Linked DNA regions of Daphnia pulex. The protein of the gene in region 1 interacts with the protein of each later gene in a pairwise test. Links are inferred from orthologs where the notes say so. Each region holds a gene or a part of one and is shown in the gene's direction. Other genes may lie near its edges. The genes, in order: GTPase HRas, ral guanine nucleotide dissociation stimulator-like 1 and serine/threonine-protein kinase B-raf-like.

What was found.
Region 2: the proteins of GTPase HRas (region 1) and ral guanine nucleotide dissociation stimulator-like 1 interact in a two-hybrid assay, tested with the Drosophila melanogaster proteins (2 studies listed by BioGRID). The link is inferred for Daphnia pulex from reciprocal best matches to the Drosophila melanogaster genes Ras85D and Rgl.
Region 3: the proteins of GTPase HRas (region 1) and serine/threonine-protein kinase B-raf-like interact in a two-hybrid assay, tested with the Drosophila melanogaster proteins (2 studies listed by BioGRID). The link is inferred for Daphnia pulex from reciprocal best matches to the Drosophila melanogaster genes Ras85D and Raf.

What each region holds. Positions count from the first base shown.
Region 1 is NC_060019.1:5,053,461-5,056,902, forward strand, and holds GTPase HRas, read left to right. Parts: upstream 1-884; 5' UTR 885-1,225; coding exon 1,226-1,256; intron 1,257-1,324; coding exon 1,325-1,373; intron 1,374-1,435; coding exon 1,436-1,464; intron 1,465-1,533; coding exon 1,534-1,618; intron 1,619-1,686; coding exon 1,687-1,829; intron 1,830-1,915; coding exon 1,916-2,076; intron 2,077-2,230; coding exon 2,231-2,305; 3' UTR 2,306-2,842; downstream 2,843-3,442. Other genes in the region: mutS protein homolog 5-like, read right to left, coding at 3,045-3,233, 3,298-3,442. UniProt on the Drosophila melanogaster protein: Ras proteins bind GDP/GTP and possess intrinsic GTPase activity. Plays a role in eye development by regulating cell growth, survival of postmitotic ommatidial cells and differentiation of photoreceptor cells.
Region 2 is NC_060021.1:11,824,754-11,827,827, forward strand, and holds the end of ral guanine nucleotide dissociation stimulator-like 1, read left to right. Parts: coding exon 1-133; intron 134-270; coding exon 271-546; intron 547-680; coding exon 681-1,536; intron 1,537-1,626; coding exon 1,627-1,874; 3' UTR 1,875-2,502; downstream 2,503-3,074. Other genes in the region: armadillo repeat-containing protein 1-like, read left to right, coding at 2,918-3,007, 3,067-3,074.
Region 3 is NC_060021.1:7,354,620-7,358,377, forward strand, and holds the end of serine/threonine-protein kinase B-raf-like, read left to right. Parts: coding exon 1-159; intron 160-550; coding exon 551-574; intron 575-686; coding exon 687-883; intron 884-945; coding exon 946-1,154; intron 1,155-1,237; coding exon 1,238-1,405; intron 1,406-1,470; coding exon 1,471-1,619; intron 1,620-1,679; coding exon 1,680-1,828; intron 1,829-1,896; coding exon 1,897-2,217; 3' UTR 2,218-3,265; downstream 3,266-3,758.

The sequences.
Region 1 (3,442 bases):
CTATTACTTTTGGTCGCTAGAGCCTCGATGCCACTTTCTACGCGCGCAGTTCAAAATTCCAAAGCGCCATCTATTGGTGAAATTCGAAATAAAAAAGCCACTATTTAAAAAAAAGCCATCTACGTATTGGTTTAATTAATTTCGAACTAACCCTCCGTGTGTACAACCGATACCAAACAACCTGTACAGAATCCCTACGGGAAATTTTTGTTAATAACTCCCCCCCCTTGAAGCCTGATGTAGTTTGTGAACACTCCCTGTATAGTTCCACCCTTTTTTTTATAAAAAGTGTTCGTGCGCCGTGTTCCCGTGTATTGAAACTAACAGTGAGAGCCTGAGAGGACTCATATCTGGAGATATCACTAGAGAAAAGAGTGCCAACTATGTGAACAACAGAGTCTTAAGTGAACGTATATTTTTCGTTTCGCGGCGAAACTCAGGAACATTGTAGACAGCGTCATCTACACGCGACATTTTTTCGAAGTGAAATAGATAGCCGTTTTGTTGATGTAACCGACCGCTTGGGGCGCAGCGCTCGCTGGGTGTCAGCAGTGAAAGTCCGCGAACCCTGTAATGTGGGGTGTGGGAGTGTGTAGCTCCGCCCATTTTTCCGGAAAACGCGTTCGTTCGTCGTGTTCTCGCGAATTAAAAATTCTAATTTTTGTTTTTCAATTAGTAGTTTCACGTCACACAAATAACTGTCCCAATCGCATGATCCATAGTTTCGAAGTTATTGGCGTAAAAATCAGAGTAGGAATAGGGAATTATGTGGTGCCCAGACCCCCTTGGTGACCTCCGTGACCAAGAGGGAAATATAAACTTTTCTTTTGTCCTATAGATGGCGTTGTATTACAAATAGCGTTTCGAAGGATGATTTTCATTTCCTGTTCTGCGGCCTTCGCTTGAATACATGAACCACAGTTGCAGATGGTTCCCAATGCCAATGCTAAACCTATCGTACTCATTTTGCTTCCTTTATTCTTCTCCCAAAGACGCCGATTTAATATTTCTTTTGTTTTCTTTTGTCTTACTCAGTTATTCGTGAAAAAGTGAATAATATCTGGTTTACAGTGTGCCTGCTCATGTGGATGATCAATGTGATCACCAGTGTCGGAACAATCAAGAGCAAGATATTTCTGTGGTTGTAGGCAACTCCCTTCAACCTCATTAGCCTACTGTTTTTATTTTGACTTCTCTTGCTCGCCAGAGCTCATCTCTTACAAATATGACCGAGTACAAACTTGTCGTCGTTGGTGGTAATACTTTAATAATAGAGATCATATTTTCAAATATTTAAATTAACTTGATTCCAAATCTATTTTAGCTGGAGGTGTAGGCAAAAGTGCTTTGACTATTCAGCTCATCCAAAACCAGTAAGTTTTTAATTGTTTTAAAATAGTCATGAAATAATTAATTTATCTATTTTTGAAAATAGTTTTGTTGATGAATATGATCCTACAATAGGTAAATTCATATTGGAGTATCACAATAAATGGATTTTATTAACTGCTATTTTAATCTTTATAATTGTAGAAGATTCATATCGTAAACAAGTTGTCATTGATGGAGAGACCTGCTTATTGGACATTCTTGATACCGCTGGGCAAGAAGAATACAGGTATTCTATTTTCAATTCCAAAAAATATGTACACATCATTTAAGTATTTGGTAATGTTTGTCTTGCAGTGCCATGAGAGATCAGTATATGAGAACAGGAGAAGGCTTTTTGCTTGTATTTGCTGTTAATAATGCCAAGTCATTTGAAGACATCAGTGCATACAGGGAACAAATCAAGAGAGTGAAAGATGCTGAAGAAGTTCCCATGGTTTGTAAGTACACATTTTTTTTTATTTTAACAGAATTACCTGTGGGCACAATTTATTTTTTATTTTTTTGTTTTTTTAATTGTCAATAGTGGTTGGCAACAAGTGTGACTTACCCACTCGTGCTGTTGATATGGCCTCAGCAAGGGAAGCTGCAAAAAATTATGGAATACCTTTTGTTGAGACATCTGCCAAGACTCGCATGGGTGTAGATGATGCATTCTACACTTTAGTAAGAGAGATACGCAAAGATGTAAGTTTTTACTTTCTACTATTATTAAATAGTATTATTATTTGTGAATAATGTTTAAAACATGTTCATTTGATTAAAAACAAGTGAAGTATGTATGGAATAATAATTGTTGTGGTGTTTTTTTTTTATTTTTTGTTTTTTTTTTTGTTTTTAGAAGGAACGCCGAGGCCGAGACAAACAGAAAAAGCCAGGCGGCAAGCTCCGTCCTTTGAAATGTCATATTCTGTAATCGTCGGTGTGATTAGGAAAGTACCATGGTTCAAAAACTTATTTACACGCAACTTCTAGTTGTGTTTTCTGATTGTCGAGCTATACGCCATATTCTATGGCCGAATGCAATTGGATTGGATGTTTGAAAATATTCTACAAGTAAAATTTTCTACTCGTAGCTAAGCAGATGGTACTGAACAGGCCTTTTGATTGAATGGCTTGGGAGGGGATGTATTTTTTTGTTCACAAGGGTAATGGTAATTAGACCGCGAATATAAGATGTATTTGTCAATTCTTTCAGCGTAGTATGTGCGTAAGTGTGGCTTGTGTCGTTTTACCTGTTTGTAATATTTTGGTACGTTCACAAGTTTTATCAATCACGGTTTCTTAATGATGTAGCAATTCTTACTGCCCTATTTGCCGTGGACTGCAATTGAAAGCATATCACGGACTTGAATTTGGACGTTTTCAGAAAACTTCATTTTCGAACATTATTTTTAAATGGTCTTGCGATAGACATGTAATAGCGAATACACATTCATGATCGTCAAGCTGAGATTTGAAAGTGGTGTGTATCGTTTCTGGCTTAGTAGTTAATATTAAATAATTCTTGCAGCATTAATGGAATTTTTAGTTCATTTTGAGGATGAAATTTGTTCTTGTTCTTGGTAACATATAGTTTACAGTTTACACATGTATCACTTCAAAAATGAAAATTGGTAACGCAATCACTTATAGATTTTATGACAAAATAATTGTTAGTTATTCGGAACGGAACTCCAACATCCAAGAATATTTCGTCTTGTAAACTGCTTTAAATCGTCAACATTCCAAGGATCAGTTGCGAAGAAAGACTCTGAAATTCTGCGTAAAGTTGAGCATTTTGCATCATTCCATATTAGGTTATTGGGTGTCATATTACCAACACTGTCAACTGCTTTCAGCATCTAGAAATATTCACGAAAAAACATAAAAATGGTCATATTTTCTTGTTAAAAAAACATAACTAACCTCTTGAGCTCGCTTTATGACAAAATTAGGCAATCCGGAAGCATACGCGACACTTAAAGGAAAACTATTTGTGCACATATCTTCAATAAGCTGATACAGGAAAACGAGTTGCTCTTCATCAAGAAAATAACCCATGGACAAGAAC
Region 2 (3,074 bases), on another chromosome or scaffold:
TTCAGTGGCGGCCACCGTCGAGCAGTTCAACGCCGTGTCCTATCGCGTCATCAGTACCATCCTGGTCGGGTCGACCGAGCCGAGATCCCAGCAGAGGGCTCGCGTCATAGCCAAGTGGATTGACGTTGCACAGGTGACGACGATAAAACAACTAGGGTTTTAATTTAATAGAAATTAATAAAAAGGGGGCCATTGGCTTCTGTCTTGTTTTGTTTGTTGGAATGAAATTATAATAACGTGTTGGCTGTTTTTACATGTGATCACGTACAGGAATTACGAGTTTTAAAGAATTTCTCGTCGCTGAAGGCCATCATTTCAGCGCTGCAATCGAATCCAATCTACCGACTCAAACACGTTTGGGCAAACGTCCCGAGAGATAAAGTGGAAGTGTACGAGGAGCTGGCCAGAATTTTCAGCGAGGAAAATAATCAATCGGCTCAGAGAGAGTTGCTCATGAAAGAAGGAACGGCCAAGTTTGCCGAAACAGCCGGCGAGAATGACCGACAAATGTTAAAGGTCATCCAGAAACAGGCCAGCCACTCCAACGTCAGTTTTTCCTTTTTTTTCTTATTTTATTTTAATAATCATAAACATTTTTAGATTTTATTCTTTTTTCCTGCTTCTGTTTGTGACAAATTCCCGTTTGTTTATTTTTCTTTATTCTTTCTAAAAAACAACAGCTTATAAGCCATGGGACCATTCCGTATTTGGGAACGTTCTTGACGGACTTGACGATGGTGGACACGGCCATTCCGGATACGACAGCCGACGGTTTAATCAATTTCGACAAAAGGAGAAAGGAATTCGAGGTCCTAGCCCAAATCAAATTGTTTCAAGGAGCAGCCAATTCCTATCAAATCGCCAACGACTCACGTTTCGAGCGCTGGTTCGAGTCGCTGATGGTGCTGGACGATCGCGAAGCTTACGAATTGTCGTGCAACTTGGAGCCGTGCAATTCCGGGCACAGCTCGGCCCGCAACAGCGAAAAGTTCCCGCGACGCAAACCCAACGGTTACGGCCACCGTAAAAATGATTCGATCGCCAGCACGTCGAGCAGCTCGAGCAGCCAATTCCTGTCGGAACTGGACGGCGCCAACAGCGCCAACCTCTCGCTGGGCGAGAGTTCGGCCTCTCTCGAGCAGAAAATGTTTCACACGCATTTATCGTCTTCATCGAGCAGCTCGTCCCTGCCTTCGCTGGACGTGTCCGTCAGCAGCAGCGGCGGAGGCGGGACGACGGGCCTGAGTGTCGGGACCCATTCGTCATCTCAGAACGCGACGCCGAGCAAAGCTGGCAGCCTGCCCCGAGGAGTGACGCCCCCTTACAGCGTCAGTCCCATGAGGACGCCAGATTTCTACGTCATTCGCGTCTCCATCGCCACCCCATCCAAAGAGACGGAGGGCATCAACCTCTACAAGTCCATCATGGTCAGCAATCACGAACGGAGTCCTCAGGTCATCCGCAACGCCATGGTCAAACACGGTCTCGAGGGTAATCCCGAGGATTATACACTGGCTCAGCTCCTACCCAAAGGAGGTAGGTTCTTTTTACGTGTCACTCTAATGCAGATGGATGGATGGATCGGAAATGATTTCATTCCATTTTATTTAATTCCCGAAAACATAGAAATGGTGCTGCCTTCGAACGCCAACGTGTACTACGCCATTAATACCAGTTGCGATTTGAATTTCATCCTGCGGCCCAGAGGCGAATCGATGGCTCATCATCACCACCACCACACTCCTCCTGGATCGTCGGGTTCCGCCTCCGGTCGCTCCACTCCCACTCGCTTGCGCATGAGGGAATGCCACAAAGACTCGTCCGCCAAGGACACGCTGAAAGCACGAAAGAAAATTCTCTCTCTCGGTTTGTAGTAGAATGGAACAAGAAGAAAATAATAATAAGACAAAATCTCATTCTCTACTGTATATTAATATTATTATTATTTTGATGATGATGATGATGGCGGCATGCAGTGATCATTCTTTTATTGGTTCTACTATTCGTCTTCCCTATGACCCCAATTTATTATTTTCTTTTGTTTTACATATGCATGGTATACATCATTCTATTTTCATAATGTGATAACGATGAATCTTTCAAAATAGTGTGCGTTGTTGCAATCAAAATATCTTGATGATTTATGCAATGATGGAATTGTCTCTTGTGTGCGTGTTTGATATATCTATGACTTGAATTGTGCGAGCAATACCTACCAAAAGTGAAGCAGTTTCTTCCGCGAATCTGCGCAATGATCTGGACCAAGAAATTTCAAAAACCTGGGCTCCTTTCTTCTTCTTCTGTTGATTTGTTTTCCATTTTCAGCTACAAATTTGCATCTTCAACGAAATCTAAGCATCTTTTTTACACGTTACTCGACAAATTTTGATTTATGTTTATCTGCAAATCAGCCCCGTGTTCGATTTCAAAGTGTCTTGTGAGATTTTGTTATTCATTTTCCCGCGTCGTCTACAGTGATGTCAATAAATCATTTACCATCTACTACGCACTCGGCTTTTACATTTTTATAGGTCAACGACCAATTATTTTAATACCATTTTTTTTTTACTTCAGAAATGTGTCACTGACCTCAAAATTTCGTGATGCATGACGTGATGATTGTTGTTTTGGAAACTGGTATGGTAACAGTGGGATAAAACAGTTCCGCTTAACAGTATATTTTTACACGTAATGAGGACAGCTGAGCCATCTAGCGGCTAGTTACCTCGGCCTGTACAGGATCCATTTTGAGAAAGGACCCCTTGTTATGATCAACAAACATGAGGTTAGTTTCGTTAATGCTGATTCATTTTCTCGAGATTTGGAAAATAAAAGCATAGAATATAGAATTTTATTGCTTGATGTTGAATTCAATACAAATTTTTGTTTTTATTCCTCAGGATTTAATGACGGCAGAATGGAAGACATAAGTAGTACTGCTCTAGTCACGGTTCAGGCTTATCGTAACATCGCTGAAGATCCCAGCAAACGAGGAACACTAATCCAGGTATTCGCCAAAGTCGTCCAGTAATTTGAATTCCTAAATGTTAATTCTTGTTCTATTAGGATGAAAC
Region 3 (3,758 bases), on another chromosome or scaffold:
GGAGCAACAGCAACAAAGGCTTGAATGGCATCCGGGAAGAGCAGCATGAGAATCAGCCCCCTGAGCCGCAACAGCAACAACAACAGGCGCATGTTCCCGGGAGGCATGCCTGGGCTCTCCCGTTCACCAACCTGGCTATCGGACTTACGTTGCCCACCTGTGCGTAACCTAACCCCCAAGTCATTTTTTTTTTCACCTCAGTTTTTCGCGATTATTTTCTGTCCGTCTTATGAATTTGTATTGGATCCAAAATCATAAAAGAACTAATAATCAACAACTCTAGTTGCCCTAGTAAAACAACAAAAATCCCAATTCTTGAATTGCGCTTTTCTGCTGATTTTGGATCGTCAATGAAAATGCTTCGACCTTGCTTGCTTCATTTCCTCCTTTACGTCACCCCTTCTGCACTTCGATTCATATTTGCTTCTACCTTTAATTTACAAATTTTTTTGAGTTTTTTTTTAATTGTTATTTTATTTGAACCGCTAATTTGACGCAATTTACTATCACGTTTTTGCATGCTTCGCGCCTTTTGTTAAATCACCACCAGCCAACAACAGCTACTTCCACCGAGGTAAATTTCAAAGGGCAGACAGTCGTCATTTAACTGAACTTTTTAAAATATTCGTTGGATCAAAAAATGGGGTCGATGTTTCAAACTAATAATCCGCTTCTTAACTTGATAGTAACAAATTTCATGGGAGGCGGCGGAAGCGGAGGCAACGGAGGAGCCCCACCCACCCTGAGTGGTCTTGGCGGAGCTTCCAGTCCGGGTAGCAGTCCGACTAAACCGTCGCATAGTCACAGTGCACAGGCCAGCCCAACCAATACTTTACGGCCATGGAGACCACGAGCAAGAAGCGCGGACGAAAGTAGCAAAAAGGTACAACTCAAAAGGTGGAAAAGTAACAAAAAGTGGATGATTTATCATATTGAAATCAACAGGTGCGAGCGTCTCGCGAATCGATCGAAGATTGGGAGATTCCCGCAGACGAGATCCTCATTGGGCCGCGCATTGGTTCTGGCTCCTTCGGAACTGTATATCGCGGACACTGGCACGGCCCAGTCGCTGTCAAAACCCTCAATGTCAAAGATCCGACACCAGCTCAGTTACAGGCATTCAAAAACGAAGTGGCAGTGTTGCGGAAAACCAGGCAAGTGTTCACATCAGTTGTACTAAGCAATTAATACTCGTTAATGAACACAATTCATTTAATGGAACCATTTTTCCCGTTAGACATGTCAACATTTTACTCTTTATGGGTTGCGTGAGTAAGCCGCAATTAGCCATCGTGACGCAATGGTGTGAAGGTTCATCCCTGTACAAACATCTCCACGTTCTCGAGACCAAGTTCGAGCTTCTAACACTCATCGAAACAGCGCGTCAAACAGCTCAGGGCATGGAGTAAGTTGTGTCGCTAACCAATGTAGACGAGTGAATATTGAATTCTTCTTCTCGTCAATTTTTAGTTATCTTCACGCCAAGAACATTATCCATCGCGATCTTAAAAGCAACAATATATTCTTGCACGACGACCTAACTGTCAAGATTGGAGATTTCGGTCTTGCCACGGTCAAAACACGCTGGTCAGGATCTCATCAGTTTCAGCAACCTTCGGGTACTTGCTTTTTACCAAAAATTAAGGAAAACACATCCAATTCGTTTGTTTCTATGTTAGGATCAATACTTTGGATGGCGCCGGAAGTGATACGCATGAAGGATGAAAATCCGTACAGTTTCCAGTCAGATGTGTACGCTTTCGGTGTTGTCCTCTATGAACTGTTTAGTGGCCAGCTACCTTATTCGCACATCAGCAACAAAGATCAGGTATAATTCAATTAGGAATTCAAAAAGGAAAAAAAGTGGTGTTAAAAGTTCAATCGAATATTTTCTAGATATTGTTCATGGTGGGCCGAGGATTCCTTCGTCCTGATTTGAGTCACGTTCGATCAGATACACCGAAAGCGCTTCGCAGGCTACTGGAATCGTCGATCAAGTTTACGCGAGAGGAACGACCTCTTTTTCGCCAGATACTCGTCTCCCTCGAAAGTCTGTCTCGTTCCTTACCCAAAATCCATCGCTCCGCTTCGGAACCTACACTGAGTGGAAGTCATTTCCAATCAGAGGATATTTACTTCGCCTACGCCCTGCCCAAGACTCCTATGAACGCCCAATTCGGCGCCTTTCCTCTATTCAATACGGGAGGTGTCATTTGAAAAGGAAAAAATAACTGGAAAGAAGAAACTAAACCAACAAACTGGAGAAACCGGAATTTTAATCGATAATTACGTTTAGGAATTCTGCCATTGCGACGCCACTCCTGCCCACTCTTCTTCGTTTCTCTATACTCAAGTTCAAAATATTGTTTCCCTTCTTAAGCTTTAATTGATAAAAACAAAACAAAAACAGACATACCATAGTCGACGATCCCGTTTTTTTCTTTTCTTTTAAATCAATATTATTTTTTTAGAGGAGTTCGTGACACTACCTTCAGACAACTCCGATCCTAGCATAGGAATGTACTGTACACAATATTATTGGCACCGTTGGTTGTGTTGTGTAGACTACAAATTGACTGTCCCCCCCACTCTGCTCGTACACCGGATATATCTATTGTACCTTCTGTCGTCCGTTAGCCCCCAAATCCTTCACCTGTTGACGAGAGCCGTGAAACTTCTCGCACACTTCAGACTCTTTTCCTTTTTAAAAAAAAAACTTCTCTGTTCCTCCGCCCGGCGCTGTTCATTAAATCCTAATTACTACTATTCCCTCCACCCGATATATGCTCCCTATTCTTCAACTCTCTTTCTCAAAATTCTTCGGTTTCGTGCATGTGTATGTTCCATGTTTTTGTTCTCCCCCTCCCCTCACCCCTAATCCTTCGTCACGTACAATTCGTCGTCTTGTGCGAAATATGAACATTTCAAGTCCAGCCTACCATGCGAGGTATCCCTGCTACTCGGGGGGAAAGAAGACTGACAAAGCAAGAAATACCACAAAACAAAATTGTATCCCTCCACGTTGACGTTATGTATAGGCGAAAACAAAAAACCGAAAAATTAAGACTAATTCAAGAACACAAAACAACAAAAAAAGAATAGGTACCAACGGAGAAACAAAAAGAAAAGAAAACATTTAAGTGAATATCCTAGCTGGTTTTCCTGTCCACTTGTGTAATGCTTTCCTCTCCTCTGCTGTATATATACCCCCGACCGTTGCGATAAACCATTCAAATAAACATGAAATGCCTCAAATTCAACTCTACACTCTTTGTCTTTGTCGGTTCTTTCCTTTTAAAAAGATGAACACGCTGCGTATCTCTTTGAGCTTCGTTACAATTAAAACCATGTGTCACCAAATAATTATCTTTTCGACAAACTGATAACAGGCCTGCAACTGGACGTGAATGATTGACGAACCAACAAGAGATGCGACACACGTTCTAATCAGGATCCAGAGGGGAAATGACAATCGGACTAAAGCTTGAATGAAATAACATCGTTCCTACCTTTATAAATGACTGACGGCCAGGTGATGCAGAGGAATCTGAAGTGCAGTTTAGAAATGTGGTAGGGCAACATTTCTGATGGGATGTCTCTCGAGTAGTCATTTGCTGTCCTCCTGTAATTAATTGTAGGGTATTTTAATTTATGTTTGATGATCTTTAAAATTTGTCTATAAACTTTCAATGAATCAAAGAGCAATCTTGAGAAAGAACTACCACATGGTAATTGGAGCACACCCTCAACATTTTCAC